Linked DNA regions of Caenorhabditis elegans. The protein of the gene in region 4 interacts with the protein of the main gene of each other region in a pairwise test. Each region holds a gene or a part of one and is shown on either strand. Other genes may lie near its edges. The genes, in order: ceh-23, nhr-20, ztf-20 and xnd-1.

The links.
Region 1: the proteins of xnd-1 (region 4) and ceh-23 interact in a two-hybrid assay, tested with the Caenorhabditis elegans proteins (one large-scale study listed by BioGRID).
Region 2: the proteins of xnd-1 (region 4) and nhr-20 interact in a two-hybrid assay, tested with the Caenorhabditis elegans proteins (one large-scale study listed by BioGRID).
Region 3: the proteins of xnd-1 (region 4) and ztf-20 interact in a two-hybrid assay, tested with the Caenorhabditis elegans proteins (one large-scale study listed by BioGRID).

Annotation. Positions count from the first base shown.
Region 1 is NC_003281.10:7,837,126-7,842,445, reverse strand, and holds ceh-23 (Homeobox protein ceh-23), read right to left. Parts: upstream 2,855-5,320; 5' UTR 2,853-2,854; coding exon 2,780-2,852; intron 2,540-2,779; coding exon 2,367-2,539; intron 2,314-2,366; coding exon 1,916-2,313; intron 1,353-1,915; coding exon 1,079-1,352; 3' UTR 955-1,078; downstream 1-954. UniProt on the Caenorhabditis elegans protein: Probable transcription factor. Required for differentiation of AIY interneurons, acting downstream of LIM/homeobox protein ttx-3. Modulates gene expression, acting downstream of AMP kinase aak-2/AMPK signaling. Modulates lifespan.
Region 2 is NC_003281.10:4,229,914-4,236,099, forward strand, and holds nhr-20 (Nuclear hormone receptor family member nhr-20), read right to left. Parts: upstream 3,307-6,186; 5' UTR 3,290-3,306; coding exon 3,091-3,289; intron 2,815-3,090; coding exon 2,638-2,814; intron 2,517-2,637; coding exon 2,428-2,516; intron 2,286-2,427; coding exon 2,225-2,285; intron 2,120-2,224; coding exon 1,962-2,119; intron 1,810-1,961; coding exon 1,490-1,809; intron 1,186-1,489; coding exon 1,070-1,185; intron 1,022-1,069; coding exon 864-1,021; intron 806-863; coding exon 710-805; 3' UTR 523-709; downstream 1-522. Other genes in the region: F43C1.5 (uncharacterized protein), read left to right, coding at 1-197, 440-480. UniProt on the Caenorhabditis elegans protein: Orphan nuclear receptor.
Region 3 is NC_003283.11:18,956,115-18,962,167, reverse strand, and holds ztf-20 (C2H2-type domain-containing protein), read left to right. Parts: upstream 1-1,995; coding exon 1,996-2,077; intron 2,078-2,120; coding exon 2,121-2,239; intron 2,240-2,323; coding exon 2,324-2,517; intron 2,518-2,578; coding exon 2,579-2,764; intron 2,765-3,521; coding exon 3,522-3,696; 3' UTR 3,697-4,601; downstream 4,602-6,053. Other genes in the region: Y39B6A.43 (DUF4124 domain-containing protein), read left to right, coding at 420-617, 752-1,067; hrg-10 (DUF833-domain-containing protein), read left to right, coding at 4,862-4,991, 5,758-5,880, 5,927-6,038.
Region 4 is NC_003281.10:5,602,291-5,608,497, reverse strand, and holds xnd-1 (X chromosome NonDisjunction factor), read right to left. Parts: upstream 4,039-6,207; 5' UTR 4,038-4,038; coding exon 3,665-4,037; intron 3,619-3,664; coding exon 3,429-3,618; intron 3,379-3,428; coding exon 3,287-3,378; intron 3,240-3,286; coding exon 3,038-3,239; intron 2,949-3,037; coding exon 2,702-2,948; intron 2,245-2,701; coding exon 1,906-2,244; intron 1,862-1,905; coding exon 1,280-1,861; intron 1,233-1,279; coding exon 1,149-1,232; 3' UTR 942-1,148; downstream 1-941. Other genes in the region: C05D2.8 (DUF7064 domain-containing protein), read left to right, coding at 1-20, 65-175, 660-924; madf-11 (MADF domain-containing protein), read left to right, coding at 5,068-5,134, 5,180-5,271, 5,316-5,577, 5,626-5,897.

The DNA.
Region 1 (5,320 bases), 2.2 Mb from region 4:
CTTCTCTTTCTTTTTTATTTTTTTTGTTTGTTTTTTCTTCATTCAATTAAACTTAATCCCATTTTTCCCTGTCCCTGTCTTTCATTAAAATATATACATGGCTTGAGGTTTGTTTCCAATTTTTGTCATCTCTTCTCGGCTCATACTTTCTTATGTTTCAGAAGACCCAGACATCTTTCAGTCTCCCCGTTTTGTTTCTTTTTTTATTTTCAAAAATCCTCACAGCAAATTTTCTTTCTCATATTTTTAATTTCTTTTTCATTCTCTTCTAAAATATTACTCAAAATCAGTCAATAAATGTTCAGTTGGTTTTTTTTTGGTTTTTAAACCATCATGAAATGGCAAAATCATGGCGGAACATGGAGCTAAAACTTGAAAATTTTACACTCAAATTGTCACTTTGAACCGTCCAAGAGGCAATTGAAAGCTATTTTTTTCTAAAACACTTGTCTAAGAGAATCTGTATAATTTTTAAAATTTGTTGAAATGTAGAATTCCAAAGACAAGATGTTTCTCAAACCAATTTTTGGTTGGTGGCATAACTTGAATTTTATCAGAAATTTCGATTAAACACACAATTTTTGGCAACTTATCACACAGACTTTATTTATAAGTTGTTCAATGTGGAAAATTACGGTTTGTTCAGTGGAATTTACTGTTTTTTTTTCAAAAGTTGGTCGTATGCAAAATTAAATATATCCACAAAACTTCAAGGACTCGCTAAATTGCGTATCTTCAAACTGGCGTATCTGGAAAAATACACGTCTAAAAACCAAATGTTCAACTAACAAAGTGATCAGAAATATTTTACCTCTTGTTCGCAATACTTTTTTTGTAAAATATTGATTATTTATTGAGTTAGAAAAAATTGAAGCCATTCGCTAAGCTTTCTTGTAAGATTTCACATTTTCTTTGAAGCACCGAACCATTTCCTGATAACGTAACCTATCAAGTAAGTTCACATAAAACTTTATTTGTTTAATGCTTTATAATCAAGAATATACACATTTTTTCTAATTATTTTCTAAAACAGAATATGGCAGGAAATAAACAAGTAAACACGAAAAAAAAAATTAAATTAATTCAGAACTTTTACATCATCTTCATCTTCTTCATCATCTTCCTCTTCATCTTTTCCAATTTCTTCAGATTTTTCTTCTAACGTCGTGCTCTGTTGCTCCTCTTGTTGTTTCCTACGATGTTTGCTTCTCCGGTTTTGAAACCAAATTCTAACTTGAGAAGGTGATAGGCCAAGGCGTTGAGCAAGATTTTCTCGTTCTGCTCCGACTACGTACATTTGTCCTTTAAACATATCTTCCAGTTGTTGAGTTTGTGTTGTACCGTAGATTGTTCTGAAAACTTTGAATTTGTTTGATCTTTAGTTTAGAATCTTAAAACAATCTTCTTCAGCTTCTTACTGTGGGAACCAACAATTTCTTTTCAATTCGGCACGTATGAATTATCCCACGAACTTCGTTTTGCGTCAAAGTTATATTTTAGATTGATTAAGAATTTCTAAAGATAAATAAATTATATTTTTAAAAACTTCAAGTCAGAGGCCAAAAAACTTCCTTTCGGAAATGAAGTAAATGTTTATTTCGTCAAAGGATTTGATAAAGCTTATAAAATCTTAAATGAGTCACCTGATGGTTCTATGATTCGTTGACAATTTTTCTGACTTTTTTTATGAAAGTTTTCTGAAACTGGTTTGTTCAATTTTTGAGGCGAGAAGCCAGTATACAAGTATATTGTGCTCTTCTTCTCGAAAAAAAACGCCACAGCTTCAAAGAAATGTAAATGAAAATTTGTCAAAAAGCTCTTTTCTGAAAAGCTGCAGATTTTGTGCTAAAGATTGATAAAAAGTTGATAGAGTATGCTACAAAGATGTGTCATTTTGCTGGTTTATTCTCCTTACCTTGCTTTTCTATGATTTGCTGCTCTCCGACTATGTGCCATACTATTCATAGCCAAGGGAACAGCTCCCATTAACGCCGCATCTAATGATCCTTGAATTCCTGAAGTTCCAGCAGCTGGAACATGTTGATAATAACATCCAGGCATTCCGGGTAGTTGAGAGGTTGGAGGCATCAATTGTGCAAGTTGTTCACGTAGCAGAACCTCCATATTTGTTTCTGAATAACGTCGTCGTTCTGGAGAACCCGTAGATGGGACTTGAAGCGTGACGGTTGCTTGAGAGGATGCAGGAGGTTCTGGGCAAGAAGCCCGACGGCTTGTTGTTGCAAAAAGTGCATTTGCAAGAGCTTCGACAGCAGATGGATTGGCTTGCAGGAGAGATGGATTTGGAATAAAAGGCTGAAAATACAAAAGGGGTTAAGAGGTTTTTTGAAAATACGAAAATCATTCACCTGTGCTGGAATTGTTGGCAGTATTAAAGAATTGGCTGGTTGTGATGGTGGGAACAAGTTGACACGTGGAATTGTAGCCGAGAAGGGAAGATTCGGTGAAAGCATTCCAGTTGATGTTGAAGGTATACAGGATGTGGGACAGGCTTGTAAAGCAGCAATTGTTTGAAGAACGTCTGAATTCATAAAATGATATGTCAGCCATACAGCTTCTCATCTTTCTCGATTTTTGAATAAGTCTAACAAATCTTATCATCATCATTCCCGAAATCAGCTTATCAGCAATGAAAATCGGATGATTGTCGTGTTTGACAGATGGTTTTCAGTCATGAAATCATTAAATGGTGTGGGGGAATGCGATTTGGATATTAAGGAGCTTTGTGTAAGAGCACATTTCAAAATGGATTTGATGTTACCTGTTAGAGATGATGAAGACACAGGCAGCGGCGTTGAAACTGGCAAAGTTTGGAATGGAAGATGGGTGTCCATCTAGAAAATAAAGATTAATCAAAAAATGTAAAAATGTTGAAAAATGTAAAGAGGTAAAAAATTAAAAGTTTGGCAATTGTAGAACTTACTGTTCTAAGTTTATCAGATCAAGTTGGACAAAAACAGATTCAAACCATAAATTATCTAAAATTACTGGGTGCAATAAAATGCTGATACCCCTGAATGGTAAATTATAGAAACTAAAGTTTTCACTATTGCAGACAAATTCAAAAACGTGTGAGTCTGGGAATATGAAAATACACTGCTTCTCTCCAATTACCAAGGGATGTGAACGAATGATCAAAGCTCAAAATTTACCACTCATTAGTAGATTATAGTAGTCATAGTAGTAGTAAAAGTAATAATAGTAGTCAGTGTGTTGTGCAGGTATATCAGTGTAGATATTATTAAATGAGTCAGACGAAACAAAAATGAAAAGGATTAATTTTTAAAGATCAGTGTTTCCAGGAAATGTTGAAATTGCTAATCGGATTATGAAAGATGAATGGAATCAGATGGGAAGACGTAGATAATGAATGTCTGGAGGATTTTATTTAATCACATTTTTGCATATCAGAAATGAAAAAGTGAGAATTTAAAATAAAAATCTGAAACTTAATTTTCCTTCTCGATTTCTGCAGCTGCTCCAATTTACTACAACCTATTAGATTATTTTCAACAATTTGAGTTTTAAGTGTAAAATTTTTAATTGGTGAAAATTTCGAAAGTTTCAAATATAAAATTGAGAGCAATCGAATTTTGTGTCTAACATATTTCTGTTAGTCAGATATCAAAGCTCACAGGCTAATGTGCTTTAAAGTTTAAATATGATCGAACGTTATACATATTTTACATGCAAATGGAAGCCAATTATTTGTCATTTTCAAGGAAGTCTCAATGTTTGGAAAAAAGAAGATCAAAAATGAAACTAATTTTGAGGTTTTATGGGAATAGCCATGAACATAAATTGCTCTTAATAACGTCTAATACCACAAAAAATTAAAACACTTGAAACTGCTTAAATTTAAAAGATTGTACCACTGTTCGTTTGTAAGATAACTGCGAATCTATAGAAAAAAAAATCAAACAAATTATTTATCAGTTGACAATTTTTCGATAGAACGAACAAAAACTACGACAAACGCTGCCAAAGTTTAAGAGTAAAGTGCATTACTACTAGTGGAAATACGGTACTTGTTTTGAAGGTTAACATAACTATGGTATCTCAAGGTTTGTTATTTTTAATGCAATTTCTAAGAATTCATACTTTTCTCCACTGAAACACATGTTAAAAACTTGCCACTATCATATTTTGAACAATTATGTAGGTACCTAAACCTGATGTAACTAACTTTCTGAGAATCAATACAGAAACATTAAATACCTACCACTTTCCTTCAAAAAAAACTAAGAATATGATTTGTGGGTTTTCTGACCCGAAGCCGGAATTATGAAACTTCTGATTCAAATTCTTCGCAGGTCACATGTTTCATTTAAATCAGAAGGTCGGAGCTAGAAATTGGAAAATATCTAAACAAATAAAAAATACAAATATTTTCAAAGATTATGACACAAAAAATGCACCCAATCATAACTATTTGATCACATCACAGCTTTAGAAAACAATCTTTTATATATCCTCAATTTTTAAGGAGAGCCCGCCCTCTTAGCCTTTTCTAGCAAAAAAAGCGTAGATGCTTAAAAACGGAAAAGGCGGAGCTATGTAGTTTATCACCTTCTGATGATGATAGCTTTGACGATGATTATAGTGATAAAGATCATTTGTTCATCGAATAATCGCTTTGGGCGGGGGGAGTGAGAGGATTATCCGGATTGAGCCGAGTGGATTCGATAATTAGTTGGAGCGTCTTAAAACTTTTTTGACGTGATTGGGAAAAAAAGTCACAAGTGGATAAAGAATTGGATGATCTGAAAGGATTAAAAATTATTCGAAATGATGACGTGTAAATGTGCAATGAGCTATGTACTGTACATATGCATGAATCCTTAAAATTCAGATTTAAGTTTCAAAGTTGTAAAACCATCAAATATTGGTTTTTTATATTTGAATTCAAAACCAGGGGTGTGGCAAATCCACAAAAGTGCCCACTTTGGTATGATAATTTTCTGTAAATGTAAAAATATCTGATTGATTCGAAAATATTGTTTTAAGAACCTCGAACAATTCGCGATTGAATAACAAATTTCCGTCAGTTTTTCAGATTTTTTTGGGTTTTTCAACAATTACCTTATATTAGGCAATTGCCGGCAATGCAAGTTTTTTTAAAAAGAATACTTTAATATTTATTTTTGATTTTAAAATGTATATTATAAACTATAGAATTTTTCGGTGGGGACATTTTTTGAGTATTTTCATGTTGATTTTGGGTTCTTTTTTCCGAATACCACAGTTTTTTTTTCAATTTTTTCTACGAAACTTGTGTGAAAGCCATTTTTTATAAAATTCT
Region 2 (6,186 bases), 1.4 Mb from region 4:
TATTCAAGAATCGCGCCGGCATGTGAAAATTCCCGGGAAAAATTCGAAAAATTCTAAAATTAGTGTGAACAAAGCGAAAAAATTGGAACCGAGACGACGATCGGACGAAGATCGTGTTCCAGATGGACCATACATCGGGGAGGGAGAAGTAAAATCGGAGAATTTCGCGGCGAAAATAAAGGAAACGTTGAGAAAAGGTGGGGTGGCCATGATTTATAGGGTCGCGAGACTATGTTTAGTTGATATTTCGATAAAACATCTGTGAAACCATTAAAAATCACAAATTTCCCGCAAAAAATCAAAGAGAAATAACGATTTTTGCAGAAAAAAACAAAGAAAATTAAAAAAAAATTTTTTTGAAAAATGAAAAGTCCGCAAATACGCGTGGCGGTGTTTGCGTATTTCACCAACTACCGTACCCAAATATTATTTTTTTCAGCTTCCGGATCACGAATTTCGAGATTATTTTCAGCACCATAATCTAAATTGTTATTTTTTCAGTTGTTAAATAAAAAGGAGACTCATAATGAATTCATTTTATTTTATCACATTGCAGATTGATCACATTTGAAATGCGCAACTATATTTTGTATTAGGAACAGTAAATACAAGAAAATGGGAGACAGAAGATGAGAGAGAACCCGTAAAATGTTGATTTTTCCATATAAAGTATTAAAATATTAAAAACAAAAAAAGAAAACAAATTCCACTAAAGTGTCAACAGGGATTTTGAAAGAGCATCTAGCTTGAATAGTTCGAAAAGTTCCGCCGATTTGTAGGTTTCCATTATTAATTGATTCATTTCCTGAAAGAAATAAACATTATTTTTTAGTCTCATTTATCAGTTGTAAATGAAAACTTACAAAAACAGTTCCCATTAACAAAATGAGATTTCCTATCCTCATGCCAGTTTCATCAGGATTTCCGTACAAATCATCATAATAATTGTGTAATCCGTTGAGCAATGCTTCTTCGTGTTCCTTCCCGATTACTTTCATACTTGGAGTAAATTCACAGTAACCTACAAAATATTTGATTTTTATTAATTTCTCACTAGATGAATTCTAACCCAGTTTCCAAATGCACAAAGCTTTAAGAGCTGCAAATTCCACGTGTGTCATTTTTAAATTCCGGATCGGCCGGCAAATAGCGTCATTGAAGCGACCCAAAAAACCAAGAAATAGCCTGAAAAATAATATAAAATTCAATTGACCAAAACATTCAAGTTTTCAGGACAATTATTTGATGCAACATGAATGAAAAAAGGTCGTAGTGACCTTATTTAACAGTAAAGTTATTCCTAATTCACATTTTCTATTTGAATTTCAGTTTGTGTTATATTAACTTTAAAAAATTTTTCTTCATGGTGCATCGATAGCCAAAAATTTGGTTCTCTCTAGAGAGCTCTCAATTCAAAATATGCGCCCAAAATCAAATTTTTCCTTATTCCAAACGAATAAGTGCTCAAAATATTGAATGAATTACTCACTTTTTCTTATCATGCGCACAAATATCCTCTTCATCATCCCATCCATACGATAAATTATTAACTGTACACACACTTCCATCCGTATACATTAAAACTGGCTCGGCGGCTTCTTCTGGGTAAGCTTGTACAGTAATCCAAGCGATATCCAGCAGGCAGTAGGCTAATGAACAACTTCTAAAGAAGATTGCCTTTTCCACTCGACTAAGAAAATCGAATCCGGGGCAACATTTACAAAAGTCAAATGCCAGGAGATTATCGAATCGTTGAGATTCGTATTGTCGTTTCAGAGAGTGAGGAGGTGGTTCCGTTGCGTCAAATGGCTGCAAATTTGACCTTTTCGACTAGGAGTATAAAAAATGTACCAATAAGCCACGCCCATTATTTTCAACCTGTGCACAGTTTTAAACTTTAAATTTTACTTCAAAAACTGTGCACAAGTTGAAATAAATTCCGATTAAAATGGGAAACTCACCACATCGCCTCGATCATCAATGACAGCTAAAAGTGCAGTATCCGTAAAAATCATTCGTCGCCGGTCCATTGAGTTTTTCAACTGATCCACATAAAATCGAAGCAACTCTTCTCCGTTCATACTGAGGATTTTCGATTCTGCCAGTTTTGGAGACGGTGCTGAAATTACTTGATTGGGTAAGTTTTGTTTGAAAATACTGAGATGTCCCTTTAAAAGTACATGACGTCTTTCTCCGTGGGTCTTGCCACCACTAAAAAACTCACATCTTTCCAACCTCTGCGTTGATCCACCACTCGTTGACGGGATATCGCTGGGGTCAAACTTCTGAAAATTTAGAAAAAATATAAATGTTTAAGTTTTTGTTCCTAGAGTTTCCATGGCAGGCAGGTTTCAGTCCTACATGCCTGCCTAACACATGTTTTTTTTCTAGGTCTTATTGAAGGCTTGAATATTCATAAGCACTTACAAAGTCTGCCATCATTGGGCTGTCATTTGGAAGAAGTCCGGGCGGCGATTTTTTCTCAATCGACAGAGGAGAATTGTCATCAGTTTGGTCTGAAGTATTTGGGTTTTTTCAAAAAGGAGTTAACGGGTCTCGCCACGATACATTGAGTCACGCGTACTTAATGCATCGTATTTTACACGCAAGTTTATTAACTTCAAAAAGAGCACTCACCTCCAGAGCATTCAAACTTGCACTCATCATATTCCATCTTAATTTGATCTTCTCTCAACATATTCATATGTTTCTTCGGAATTTTCTTATTCGACCTTCTTTTCTGTACACATTCTCGCCGCATACCAGCTTTCACACATTTATCGAATCGACAAGCTCGGCAAATCATTCGGAGTTCTGGAAAAGTAGTTTTAAAGTGGGTGTGTAGGTAAGTTGCAACTCCGATTCTATCACGTAAGCCTTCAGATCGGAATATGCCTGCTGACTGACCCGGACTACTCCCAAAATATATGTGAACAATCTTTTTTTATTTTTCGAGTCTATCCCCTAACCTAGAAAAACCTATAAAATGTTGAGCGCTGCATAATATATTTTTTTCCGTTCTATGAAACGTAGAACATTTTTGGTTATTTGCAGGACCTTAAAAATTCGGCCACATTTCCAGATGCTTACCATGAAATATCACGCAGTTCTTGTCCTTTTTGCACTGAAACTGAATATTCAGCGATACGGTCCTTCGGAAAAACGCGGCACACGCCAGACATGATGTACTCCCAAAATGCGCGGAGCCACCATCTGGATGCTCACAAACAAGGCATTTGGATGTGGGTGGAATGCCACTGTAACCACCACTTGATCGTTCTTGTTTCATTCAATGTTTTTTGACAGCTGAAAATTATTTTTATGAGCGAAATGTACACAGCCAGATGAGTAACAAATATATAAGGTCAATATTTAAAAAAAAAGAAGTTCAATTGACCGGAGATAATACGTTCAGAGAAAAAATATGATGATCATCTGTATGAGTGAAATAGAGTGTGAAATTGTGCATGACATTTTGAGGAATACTATCGCGAAAATAAATGAAACCGGTCTCTCCTAGCATCATGATCTCTTGAAATTGCGCGTTGAGATATAGTCTATTTCTGACAGCATTTTATACAATTTAAAACGTTTCTGCATAACTGGCATAATTTTGTACATTTAAGAACTGACGATTTTTCAGTAACTTAAATTTTTACACCGAGGGTACTAGTCAGAAATACTAATAATTTGGTTGCGACATGTTATCCTTTTTCAGAGATACAGAAGCTTAAAGGCACATGGCTCCAAGTTAATTTTTGTAAATTTGCAAATTGTAAACCTTGGCTATCATGTAAAAGTTTAAACAACAAAGGAATTACTGTTATACATAACTCTCCGAAAAATATTTCCCCACGCCTCTTTGATTCAATTATTGGATAGATACAAAATAGGATGTGTGTAGGTGGTGGAGCTGTGATCTATGTTATTAATATTATAGTAATCTATGAATTGTATTAATATACATCTCGAAATTGATTGTTTTGGATGAAAATGTGATCAGTTGAAAATACTTACCGTGTTTTTCCGATTGGTATTTTTTCCTCTATGAGCAGTGTCAAGCTTTGTTTTCAGGGCATATATTTTTTAAAGTCAAAATAAATAAATATTTTAATTATATCAAAACTTTGTGAAAGTTTGAAAATACAATCCAAAATTTGAAAAAAAAAATGCCAATTTGCCATGCAATTTGAATGAGAATTCGAAAATCTGGAAACTTTTAAACTAACGATAAATAAGTTTGTAAATTTTTAGAGTTAGAGGTATTTTCAGTTTACACAAAATTTTCATGGTTTATATTAATTCTAGGTTTTGAAATTTGCCAAATTTTCCAAAAAACGACCACTGCTGAGATTACCGGTATTTTTCGATTGCGATCCTTATTTTTTGCAGGTGAAAATTTTTTGCTACGACTCATAAAAATTAAGTTAAGAGCTGTTGAAAGTTGCTCTAATATTGTAAAGCTTTCCAAAAAATTTTTGAATTTTTTTTTCACTAAAAAATTAGAGATTGCTATGTTTTTACCTACCATAATATTGGAATTCGGCCAAAAAAGTTTTCTCTACGATTTTATATTTCAGTTAGGCTTCAAAAATTTGCATTTAACGAGTGTAGGGCTGCTCATAACTTATTGAAAATCTAGAACATTTTAGTGAATCAATTTTTAGACTATTTCGACAAAATCCAACTTTTCTCTGCTTTAATGTTTAAAATCATTAAAAGGAGAAAATTAAATTTATTATTTTTATCCATCAAAATCGTTTCTCAGAAACACTTTTCTTAGTCTATTTTCAGAAGAAAAGAGAAAGGAAAAGCCTTTCAAACTTGTCCCTATTTACAACTAGACTCTAGTTTTCTATGCTTTCATCACATGTTTGCAATGTCCCGAAAAGCGGAAAAAAACACACGTGGGAATTTTTTGAAAGTAAACATTTTGATATTCCCCAGATAAAAAGTGATATGATGCTGATTCAAGTGATTCATATAATCAAATAATTAGTAGTGACGTGATGTTAATGAATTCTGCAGGGATTCAAAGAGATCAAAAAATTAAACCTGGTTTCAGATTTCAAAAAAATTTGGCTGCATTCTTGAAACTCAGTCAGATTGTTTGCGAATAAATTGTTATTTTGATTCAGAAATTTTAAAAATAGTCGTGAGAGGGCGCAGACCAATCAGCGATGCGCAGTGGGCGTAGCCAACATAGGTGATTGGTCGGTGGCCGCCTTTTTTGCGTGGGAATTTGAAATTGAATTGGCAGAAAAAAAAATAATAAGGGGAAATTTCGAATAGAAAATTGTTTTTTGGCAAGTTTTGATTTTTTTCGAATATAATTTTGTTGAAATTCGACGAATTTTAAAGCAATTTCCAAAAAAAAGTGTTTTTAGCAAAAAAACGTTGTTTTCTCTGCAAATATCAATTAGTATTCAAATTTGATAAAACCTAAACAATTCTAAACATTTTCTGAAAATTAAGCAAACAATGTTCTAGAAACAATAAAATTATAAGCCTAGAGATTTATACCCCAGGTCCAAAAATTTGTTTTTTTTTCGATAACGTCTTCCATCAAACACCAGTCACAAAAATCTCAAATTATTAGATCAAGAGAGCATTCTGACCAAGCAGAGGGGGGATTAATCGAGCGACGACTGGAATAAATTTATTAACGGGAGCTTTAGGTCGTCTAGAAATAGACACACGAGGAAGAGAAAACTACGCAGACTAAAAAATTTAATATATTTTTGTTTATGCTAAACAGAAGACCAAGCTATATAAAATAAGTTGAACTTTGAATTTTTAGTAGAGAACGATCAGAAAAATTATTTTCGACAGCATTATCGTTCAGTCGATGCACCATAAGTTTAGCTTAACATTTTTCTAATTTTCTGGGAGGTTATACAAAGTGATTTGAGAAAATTAGAGGTCGAAAATTTATCATAATTCACAAGGATTTATTGTATTAAAAAATACACTTAATAGAAGATCATAAAAGGGTGCTATTCCCAAGGAAACTACCAAAATGAGCTCATAGAGATGCGTTCTAGACAGGAAAAACAAGGTGTTCACTGCACAGACCACTGGCACGAAACTCCAAATTTTGTTCTTCTTCGATCACTTTTTCCAAGGGGAAATTAGAATATTATTCATTTGTGCACATTAAAAATAAAAGGAAAAACAAAAAGTCCA
Region 3 (6,053 bases), on a different chromosome or scaffold from region 4:
TACAGGAGACGATATGTAGTCGTAAAACCATCAGTGGTATTGACAATCTATTGGTCCGGAATATATTACTCTGGGGAACAAATATTTAAATTATGTAATGACGCTATTTCGCAACAATTTCAATTGAGAATATGTAATATTTAAAAACCAACACGATTGAAAGAAAACTTTTTCACTGAAAATAAATACACTCGATTTTGCGCGTTCGAAACAAAATATATACAATATTTGAATCACTTCGAGCAAAACTATTGTGGTTTTGAGTTTTAATTCGATATATCTATTCAGAAATACTGTAAAATATAGGGATTCAGATGAAAAATTGAACAAAGCTATTGTATTTTTTTAAAGAGAATGTAGAATTTAAACAAAACCAATTTTCTTGAGCTTTCCACCTTCAAAAACCGAATTTTTTGCAGTTTCCCGGGATCCCCTGAGTACGCTGTAATTGTATACTACTGGAAAGGTGAACCAATTCAATTTGAGCCAGCTTTCAAGCAAAATGGAGTACGAACAGAGTCTAAGGAGTACTCGAGATATCAACAAATTGCTGATGAGGAACAAGAATTTGTGGAGGCTACTGGTTCTATGGATCCTGTGGTAGAAAATTTGCAGAAGTACGGAATTCGAAATTAAATATAAAAATTTTGAAAAAAAAATTTTTTTTTTTTGAAAATCTCAAATTTCTATTTTCTATTTTTCAATAAGAAATATCATATTTAATGTTTTTTAACAAAAGTTTTTTTTCCAGAAACCTTGCCCCATCACCACCACCGCTACTAAAACGTGTCACCTTCCCACCGGAACCCCAACAATCCACGTCATCAACATCGGCTGAAAACCTTCACGAGCTGAAATTACAGCTTATTCGACGAGAAATGCAAAATCAGGACAGATTTTCGGCGGTTTTAGACCGGGCCGACGGGCTTTTGGCTAGAATGGAGCAGAGATTCGGTGTGGAGCACCACCACCATATTGTACATCAGGAACAAGAAGAAGAAGTGTGGGATCATGAACAAATTATTGAAGAAGAAGAAGTTATTGTGCAGGATACGATGGAATATTGAAATGATTTTTTAAATTTTTTTTAGTTTTTGAAAATGCGAAAAATTTAAATTTTGAAATAAAAAATTTCAAAATTTTTTTTTTTGGATTTTTGTTTGAATTTTTTTAATTTTCAAAATAAATAAATAATTGTTTTTTTTTTTCAATTTTGAGTCACTTTTACACAATATGGTTTCGAATTTCCATTATAACTTAACGACAATTGTAAAAGTTGAGCCTTGCCATGAAATCTACAGTAACCCGCTGGTTTTCTTGTATGTTTTTGAAATCAGGAGATCACAGCGGTTCGAATAAGTATAATCATGACTAGGTTTCGAATTCATTAATTTTTTTTTGAGTTTTGGGTCCTGCCACGAAAACCAAAAAACTAGCGGAACTCGGCAAATTTCGATCGAAATTTCTAGTTCATAATAGTTTTCAAATTGACATGAAATGCGCGGTTTGAATGAGTATAATCACGACTATTTAAAAATTTTAAATTTTTGGGTCCCGCCGCGAAAATCAGAAAAACTAGGATAACTCGGTGATTTTCGATCGAAATTCCTGAAATTTTATAGTTTTGAAATCAGCATAAAATGGCGGTTCTAATAAGTATAATCATTACTAGACTCCGAATTTATTTATTTTTTCGAGTTTTTGGGTCTCGCCACGAAAAGTGTGAATTTTCGAGCAATCGATTTCATTTGACATTATTAGAAATTAGTATAAAATGACGGTTTAAATAAGTATAATCATGACTAGGTTTGAAAAGTTTGAATTTTTGGGTCCGGCCATGAAAACTTCTGGTTTTCGTGGTGAGACCCATTTTCTGTAAATTTTTGGAATCAGAAGACCACTGCGGTTTGAAAAAGTATAATCATGACTAAGTTTGAAAATTTCAGAAAATATTCGAATTTCTGGGGGGTCCCGCCACGATCAACTAATTTTCAGATGGAAAGCTTCTTAGAACACCTAGAGCAACTCAAACACGAATTTTCACAACTACCAGACGTTCATCTTTCAGAAGCAATAGGTTTGTAGAGACGAGCAAAATTTTTTTAATTTTTTGAAAAAAGTACTTCCAGAACGTATGGACGCAGCAGTTGAAGAAATGACACAAAGTGTGATATTTATTGAGGATAACTTCCAAAATACACAGGAAGAATGTCTAGTGGATATGGGAAAACATATGGTGGTACGTAATTAGGGAAAAGTTTGGGAAATTTGGAATTTTGGTCGCTGCTAATTTTTTGGGCGCTGCAATTTCTCATCATTTCAGGAAGATTTCTTGGATCCATCCGCCGCTGATTTTCTCGGTCACCTGGAGCCGTCTACGTCATCGCAGGATTTCATCTACTATGATGACGTGGCATTAGACACTACTACGTCATCGTCGTTCGTCACGTCACAACCTAGAGAATTGTACTGTTTTACGTGTGGAGATGCATTTAACAATCGGAAAGGGCTTTACAGGTATATTATATTTTAATTTAAAAAAAAAACAGAAATTTTCTTTAAAAAAATATTTTCTCAGACACGGAAAAACCGCCGAACACGCGACACGACCTCCTCGCCGAAAAATTGAGCGAAAAATTCAAATTCCCGCCGAACCGCCAGAAAAACCACCGGAAATTCCGAAAAAATCGATAAAAATCTGCGGGGAAAAATCGATTTGTGCGGAATGTTCGGGGAGTTTTCCTAATCGAAAAGCACTTTACAGGTGAGAACGCCCAAAAAATTAGCAGCGCCCAAAAATTAGCAGCGCCCAGAAAATTAGCAGCGACCAAAAAATTAGCAGCGCCCAAAAATTAGCAGCGCTCAAAAAATTAGCAGCGCCTAAAATATTAGCAGCGCCCAAAAAATTAGCAGCGACCAAAAATTAGCAGCGACCAAAAAATTAGCAGCGCCCAAAAATTAGCAGCGGCTAAAAAATTAGCAGTGCCCAAAAAATTAGCAGCGCTCAAAAATTAGCAGTGCCTAAAAAATTAGCAGAGCCCAAAAATTAGCAGCGCCCAAAAATTAGCAGCGACCAAAAATTAGCAGTGACCAAAAATTAGCAGCGCCCAAAAAATTAGCAGCGCCAAAAAATTAGCAGCGCCCAAAAATTAGCAGCGCCCAAAAATTAGCAGCGACCAAAAATTAGCAGCGACCAAAAATTAGCAGCGACCAAAAATTAGCAGCGACCAAAAAATTAGCAGCGCCAAAAAATTAGCAGCGCCCAAAAAATTAGCAGCGCTTAAAAAATTAGCAGCGCCAAAAAATTAGCAGCGCCTAAAAAATTAGCAGCGCCCAAAAATTAACAGCGACCAAAAAATTAGCAGCGCCTAAAATATTAGCAGCGCCCAAAAAATTAGCAGCGCCCAAAAAATTAGTAGTTACCAAAAACAGTTTCTATTGATTTTTGCAGATTTTTAATCGATTTTTCTCTAAAATTTACAGATTTTCACGATTTTTCTTAAATTTTTAAATATTTTCAGACATGGAAAACAAACAAATCATCAGACACATTTTCAACGTGGAATGAATATTAAAGGAGGATCAATTCGATGCGAGAAATGCGAATATAGCAGTGATAGTGAAAAGAACTTGAAACGACATTGTCAGAGAAATCATTCGAAATTTTCTGCAATTTCTGATGAGATTTTATTGTAAAATTCTAGTTTTTCATCACCTTTTACCTCGGGTAGCAACTTTGCAGAGTTTTAGTGCAAAATTCCGTCAAGTCCGGTGTTTTGAGTACGGTAGTCGGTGTTTGCGTGCTTTCGGCGCTACAGTACCCAAAATTTCTCAAATTTAACTCTAGAAGCCTATAAATAGACGGATTAGCTCAGAATTCGATAAAAATTTCGAATTTTTCAGTAAAGTATACAAATACCAAATGTTAACTGCGGAAAATACCATAAAATTCTAAATGCTTGAAATTTCAGCATTTTTTGAGATTTTTTCAACCTTTGCAGTGTGAAGTACCCGAAAATGTTCAAATTCAGCGCTAGAATACCGGGAAAAACGATTCTCACTCAGAATTCGACGGGAAATTCGAATTTTGCACATTAAAACATGAGAATTCTCAATTTTTAGTGTCGAAAATCAATATAAATCCAAAAATCTGAAATTTCAGCATTTTCCGAAGTTTTAAACATTTTTTCAGTGTGAAATTCGAGCTCTCCGACGAATTTCACATCTATATCATTCTTTTCAGCGTTTTTGTGCAAAATTCCGTAGAATCCGGTGTTTGCGTACTTCCAAAACTACAGTAACCCAAATTTCTAGATTTTGGGCTAGAAGCTCCAGAAAAAATGTAAAAGGCTCAGAATTTAAAGGAAAAATTGAATTTAATATGAAATTTATGGAATTTTCAAAAATAAAAAAATTTGGAAAAAAATTATTTATCTTTTCTTTTTTGTATTGTTCCAGTGTATATATTGTTTTATGATCTCTGATTATTGTTCTCTTATCTGATATTTTTTTGTGATAAAGAAAATGTCATCATTTTTTCCCGCGTTTCTGTGTGTACTTTGTATGTTATTTTCCCCGGGAATAAACTTTTTTTCTGCAAAAACTTTTGCACTGAAGCCTATATTGTGGTCATATGTGTATTGTAGCACTGATAATATTCAATGTTGAAAAAATTTGAAAAAAAATTTTTTTTGAAATTTTTTTTTTTGGAAATTTTCTTTTGGAATTTTTCATTTCTTCAAACTACTTCTCATTTTTGTTCAAAATTTGCAAATTTCCAACACTTTTCACCCAAAAATTCAAAAAATTCAAAAAATTCAATTAAAAATTCATTTTCGGATTTTTTCCAGAGTTTTCCAAAATGTGCATTGGATTTATTAAAATTGCTACTTCACCCAGTGAAAAATACAAATTAATTATTCTGAACAATAGAGATGAGGATTTGGACCGGCCGACTACTCCCATTCACTGGCACGATGGGATGCTGAGTGGTAAGGCTGGAAATTATCACTTTACAGGGAAAAATTGGAAAAATTGAAATAAAGAAATCGAATTCCGCATATTTGAAAACCTATGTGAAGGTTTTAAAAAAATTAGAAAATTTTAAAATTTAGAAAAAAAAATTTTTTTTTCAGAAAATTGAGAAAAATGTATTTTTTTTGCAATTTTGCACTGGAAAATTCGAATTCCCCGTCATTTTTACCCCTACCCCTCAGTTTTTAGGGTTTCCGTGTAAAATTCCGTAAGATCCGGTGTTTTGGGGTACGGTAGTTGGTGTTTGCGTACTTCCGGAGCTACAATACCCCAGAAAATTCAAAATTGAGCTAGAACACCCAGAAAAATACCTCTTATATTAGAATTTAATGGAGAACTCAAATTTCGTAACGAAAATCGAATTTTTTTATTTTATTTTTTCAAAAAAATAGGAAAATCAGAAATTTGAACCTTTTCCGAAAATTTCAGACACTGTTCATTAAGAAATTTGAATTCTTCGTCACATTTTACCCCTAAGCCCCAGTTTTCAGAGTTCTAGCTCAAAATTCCGTAAGATTCGGTGTTTTGGGGCACGGTAGTCGGTGTTTGCGGACTTCCGGAGCTACAGTACCCCAGAAAACTCAAAATTTGAGCTAGAAAGTCAAACGAAAAACCACTAAAAGCAGAATTTAATGGAAAATTCGAATTTAACAATAAAAATTCAAAATTTTCAGCGGAAATTCAAATTTTTCCCAAAAATGTCTAGAAAATTGGAAATTCCAGGAGTTGACGAAAAAGATGTGGCCCGTGGTACTTGGCTAGGAATGGATGCACATGGAAAAGTCGGAATGTTGCTTTCAATCACCCAACCTGTCGACTCAAAACACAAAAATGCGCCTAGCAGAGGCTAGTTGGCGCATCTCTCGATAACGCGCAAATTTCCGATTTTCAGGTGGAATTGTCAATGAATACTTGAAAAGTGGCACGGATACAACTAAATTTTACGAAAATTTGCGAGAAAATGCGGAAAAATTCAATGGTTTTCAGTTTGTTGGAGTTGAAAAGTTAGTTTTTGAGAG
Region 4 (6,207 bases):
AGATGGTCAGACATTCGAAGGTAAAGTGGAACTTGTTTGCATCGTAGATTGACTAAATTTCCAGATATATCATGATGATTTACCATTTGGAAGATGGTACATGTGTTCATACTTCGGTTATTTCAATGCCAGAAACTGTTTTTAGTCACCTTGAATTTGGATATATTGTTACACCGTGGGTTGATGCATCTACGCTCCAAGAAAACACATAAAATGGCTCAACAGGGCGCATTTGAATTTTTCTGCGAGAGACACCACACATTCACAGCGTTTTGAAACCGTGGAATTCAATTCACGGAATATGTCAAAAAGTGACAATTACTCAGTTTTTCCACTTATAATTTTCGAAGTCACCCCAAAAAATTGTTTTTTTATCACATTTTTTAATACTTTAATTTTGTTTTAACTATTCGTATTAACACATTGTAGGGGTATGCAACATTGCTTTAGATTTTCTCAATAGCTCCTATTTTTCAATATTTTGGCAATTTGCGAAAGCTTACGAAAAATATAAACATTTTTGGAGTGTTTTATTATGATTTTTCGTCGTTTTGGATCATTATAAGTGTCCTTTAAGTCGTTTCGAGACCGAGTACCGTATTCTCGCAAAAGATTCTAGTAATTTCCTTAATGGGCAGAACCTAAATTTTTTTTTTCAGAACTGGTGAGACGAAGCCAGTGGATCGTGTACACTTCTCCCTTCCAAACCACGGAGAGGATCGTCATTTCCCTGATGATTTCCACTACTCGTTCGAAGTTGACGGCAAGATTCATCACGCAGATGTTCATATCAAGGAAGCCGTCTCATTCAAAATGGGATTGGATCAAGCATGTCAGGTCACCGAAGGAATGAGCGAATTCGTTGTCGACGGAAAGCCGGGATGGGGATTCGCGGAAGTCGAGTATCGTATTCAGCCGTATTAAAAAATTATCAAATTCAGATTTTCTACCTTTTCCACTTACTTTATAAAACCGTTTCATATGCTACTAACAAATGTGGGGTCAACGTGCAGAACAGAGCAACAGTAAAATGTACAAAAAATAATAAAACACTGGGAGGGGATAACAAGTTCCGAAGAACTAAAAACATGAGACAACAAAACATTTAGAACGAGAAAACAAAAACAAAAGAACAGAGATTGTAGCAGCTACGTAGCAGAAGTTGAAGCCCTTTTGTCAACCTCATCCAGTAGATAGTTCACCGTTTCTTGGACACTTTTGTCAATTGGAGTCTGTAAAACCAAATATTTCAAGTTTTCAAATTGTTCAGTTCTCTTACCCGAACAATATACTTTGTGCACGATTTGAAGCGAAGATATAGTCCCTTGCGAGGAGACTGCACCTCCAGAGGCTTCTCCTTTCTCGGGCGGCCTCTTTTGCGAACAAGGCTTGCCGTCGTGTCCTTCTTCGGCTGAACTTGCTCTATTTCGGGCTGCTTCTTCTTCATCACCGGAATCACTGCAGTCCTGGGAAGCGAGTAGGGAGTTTTGAGAGTTGGTGGACGAAGAATCCTCGGAGTTGTGATATTTGACCAGCGGAGAACGGTATTCTTGGGTGGTGGTTGATCTTGCAGATTTTGGGAAGACGTGGATGCTGTTGTGAAGTTTGTGAGTGGATGATGTCTTTTCTCATCTTCATCATTCTTCTTTTTCTCCACTGCAGTTTCTACTGGTTGCGTAGTGGGTGGTCTTCCAACCGGTCTTGCTGCTGAGGAAGAAGGACCATCAGAACCTTCCCTATTACGAGCCATCGATGCCTGATTAACTGAGTAGAACTGAGTGAGTACATGTGGAGCTCGCATGGTCTGCCCACAAAACTTCTCGGATCCGAAAGAAGACTTCAGGGAGGTCAGTTCGTTTCTCTGAAAAAAGTTAGATTAAATCTTCTTTGTTCTTTGAAACTTACCGAAACACCAACACGATCAGCACACTTTGGAATGATAGACATATTGGCAATCTCAATACATCTACGAACCGTCGCACTGCAAAATCCGGTCATCTGAGCCGACACCTCGTCCGGTTTCTGCCAAACAGTTCCAGCAGCTCGATCGCCGAGTCGTTTCGCGTATTCTCGATTCCAAATTGCTGTTCTAGCTACCATGACGCGTGTCTGATCGCAAAGATGAGCACGGATGGCAATAACGGTAGAATCGTCGACGAATCGGAAGGAGCTCATATCCACAGGCTTTTGAATTTCGGCGCAACGATAACATCTTCCATTGACTCCTTTGACGAAGGCGGGGGCCTGAATTTTGAAAATTGTTCGTTGTAGGTCTCGCCACAAATAATTTGATTTTGTAAAGTACTAGCCAGTGGCAAAATTTTAGGAAGAACTACGGTCGCACCACGAACAATTATCTCCAATCATCCCGGCGCAAAAATGTAAGCGCCTTTTAGAACTACAGTAACCCTTCTCCTCTTCTTTTCAATGTCGCTGAACTTTCTTATTTTTCGCCAAGATTTTTTTAATTTATTGAGAGAAACTGGAGTTGGGTTACTGTAGTTCTTCAAAAAATTTACCATTTTGTGCAACCATTAGATGAAAATATTTTTTGCTTATGATGAAAACAGGGAATGAAATAATATAATTATTGGATGAAAAACACTAGTAATTGCTGAAAAGTTTTTTTGTTAATGATAATGCAGGAAAATTCGAAATATTGAAGTTCCACTTTAGGGTTTTCCAAAAATATATAATTTACCGCCATATTCGAGTAGAACGTCATAGGAGTTTTATGATTATATGCAGGAATTTGGACACTTTTTGGAGCCACGGTACTGTTTTTGGCTTTTGGACGGAAGTTATTCGCTTGTCTGATCACGGCGTTTTTCGTCATCTCCAGAGCTACTTTTTTACGTTCCATTATCGATTTGGAGAGTGGAAGGATTGGAATTGCGCTCGCCGAAATTTTGGTTCGTAGAAGCTGTGATGGATTGATTTCCTCCAATCTGGAAAATTTGCTTTTTAGCAGGACTTATTAAACAAATTGTCATTATTTTGGAAGTCAAGGTTTTCAAAAACCCGAAATTCAACTTACTCAATTCGTTTTCCGACTCTTTCCGTATGTTCACTTCCAAGCGTTGCGTCTTCCTCGAGAATTTTCCCTTCACTTGGTTCGCTTACAGACTCCCGAGTACTTCCACTTTGTCGCTCGAGAATTGGCGGCGGTGTGACAGCTCGCTGGTACCGAGATCGCAGAAATTCCTCCTCATCAGAATCATAACTGTTTCGGAAGATATCTGAAGAGAAAATGAGCTTTAAAAAATCAAATTTTCATGGAAAATACCTCTTTTGGTTCGATTCGACTCAAATCTGGATATCAGAGATCGCTGTGGTGGAAGATCTGGTGGGCGTGTAGGGTCGGCCATAATTTTAATTCTGAAGACGGGTGATTGTTTTGTTTAATAAAAAACTTTTTAAAAACTAACGCTTCCTCCTCTTCGTCGAATCCAACAACGTCCACATCCTCATCAGAGTCTGTAAGCACTATTGGCTTAGATACAACAGGATTCGGATTTTTTGGAGAATTTTGTGCCTTTTCGAGTGTTACTTGTTGGTTATTAACAACTAACGGGGACTTCGACTTGTCTGTATTCTGAGAACGAATGACGTAGACTTCTGAAAACAATATTTTTATTTAACAGAGGACCATTTGCAAACAAACTTCTTCGTGGCAAATTTGGATCCGTAGCTTTTTTAACTGGCTTTGGTGGAGGTGGGAGACAGGAATCTCCGAATGAAGCCCATCCAATATGAGCTTTAGGTTCATAATTACTAGAAGATGCCGGTGGTGAATCAGTTTCGTCGTCGTCGTCGACTATCAGAAGATCATCGACGCTCAACGTTTTCTGGGATGTGGAAGGTTCATCATCTTTAGCAGTTTGCGGTTTTGGATCAACTTTTGGAAACTTGACCGCTGCTCGTTCTTCTTCATTCATAAAAGCAAATGACATTGGGGATATTGGTGGAAAAGCTGCGGGTGCAGGCTCTGTCGTCATGGAATTGTCTAGATTGGCAACAATGGGTTCAGAAGACATCCTGGAAACAAAAAATATGGAGATAAAATTTTTAAATTTAAATTTAAACTGTTTTTATTTACCAGAAAACTAGAAAATCCCAATGAGAAAGAAGGGAAATTAATAGAAAAATAAAGTTTTAAAAATACCTAAATTTTCTACAGTACCCGAGGTCTCGCGAAGATTTTGGTCCGCAGTACGCAAACACTCTTATGCTTGTTTACCGTAACCACTGAAATATTTTTTCGTTGTTTTTCTTTATTTAAAAAAAGTTATCTATTTTTCGAAATTTATTGAAAATTTCACATTTCAAAACCGTCAATAATTCTTTTAAAATTCATTTTTCGCAATATGGATTTTCTTCAAATGTTAAACCAGAGTTTTCTTGTAATTCCTTGAACAAATCACATTTTTAAATCACATAACCATTTTCGTTTCTGGAAATCTTCACTTTGAAGTTGAATTCTTGTTAGATTATATTTGTTTAACTCTGAAAAATAGTTAAAATGTGTGTTTTTATATGTTTTGTTTCAGATTTCCCCTGCTTTGTTTTCCTTTCCTAGACTAAGTTTTTAAATTTCGATCAATCCTTTTTCTTCATTTTACCCTCTCAAAACCATTTATTTACTCACTTGAGAGACGCAGAGAAACCATCGATGGCCTAGATGTCTCGTCTCGCCTCCTTCTCGGCCACGCGCGCCTATCTATCGATGTTTTTCTGCCTGTTCGCTCCGTTTTCTTTTTCGAATCTTGACCGCTTCGCATGCCTGTTCCGTTGCGGTTTCTGAAGCGTTTCGGTTGCGTCGCGGTTCCCGGCTCCGCCCTACTACCCGTTCGAGTCTCCCACGGTCTGTAGCACGTCTATCACCTATGTGAATGAGTGTGTACGATCATCTTCTTGCCAATCGGGTTATTGGGTTCAATGGATCGTAGATTGATATGAAACTCGAATTCGGGAAGGAATCGCCACGCAACGCAGCTAGAAATGCTTGAGAAACTTGCGAGAATTTGAGAAGAAAATAAATTTCAGAATTATTATTAAAAATTTCCAATGAGCGACCGACGGCGGCACGGAACAGAGGATTATCAAATCGCCGGTCTCAAGCATTCAATGACAAGTAAATCGATATTCATAGATTCAGAATTTCCAATAATTTTTCCAGGTGTCGCCTCAAGCTCCCACGGTGGTGCTGGAGACCTCCAACAACAATTTTCCAGGGAAGATCCACCCGTAAAAACTACGCAATACACACTTGTAAGCTGGAAAACGTTTAAAATTCAAAATTTTCAAATTTTCAGCTTCAACTAATCAATATGGTTCGAGAAAATCCGATTCTCTACGATGAGGAGATGCAAGCCGCCACGCCGGATGCTCAGTTGAAGGTTCAGAAACGAGAAGCATGGGATCGGATACGTGCTGATATAGTTTGGCAGGACATCACTCTTGTTCAGGAAGTCTGGTCGGATCTTCTCGATCAATATGCTAGAAAATCGATTGATATGTCCGATGGACTAATTGAGGCAATGCGATGGACAGATTCATTGATTTTTAAGAAGAAATGTAAGAGTTTCTTGCAAAGAAATACACCAAAATCATTTATATTTTCAGCAGACTCTCGACCTCCTTCACAGCTCACCGCAATGTCCTCCGGACTGGATAAGGATTTCTATAATGACGTTCCGCTGGCAGAAGATGTATTAGAACCCGGACAAAGTCTCGGAAATTCTGAATCCATGAAGTTCGATTATGTGGTTATTCAGCCTCATGTTAGGCCACATCAACAAATTCCCACATCTTCATATTCCCGTCGAAAATCACCACAATCAAGAGAAACAGAGGCAATTGTTCGAACTTATCCATTATCGCCGAAGCGGATAGTGGTAAGTGCAAAAACGATGAAGTAATTACTACTCAGACCCTAATTTTTCCGATTTTTGCTGACTATGAGATAACCGGTCTCGTCACAACAATTTTTGTTAAATACGACAAGATGCGCGCCTTTAAGGAATACTGTAATTCCAAACTTTTGTTGCTACGGAATTTTCATCGATTTTCATAGCTTTTCAACAAAAATTTGAAATTACAGTACTCTTTAAAGACGCACACTTTATTGTATTTAACAAAAATTAGTCATGTCGAGACCTGGTACCGTATGTTTGGCGCAAAAATCGCAAATTTCACGTCTGGGTA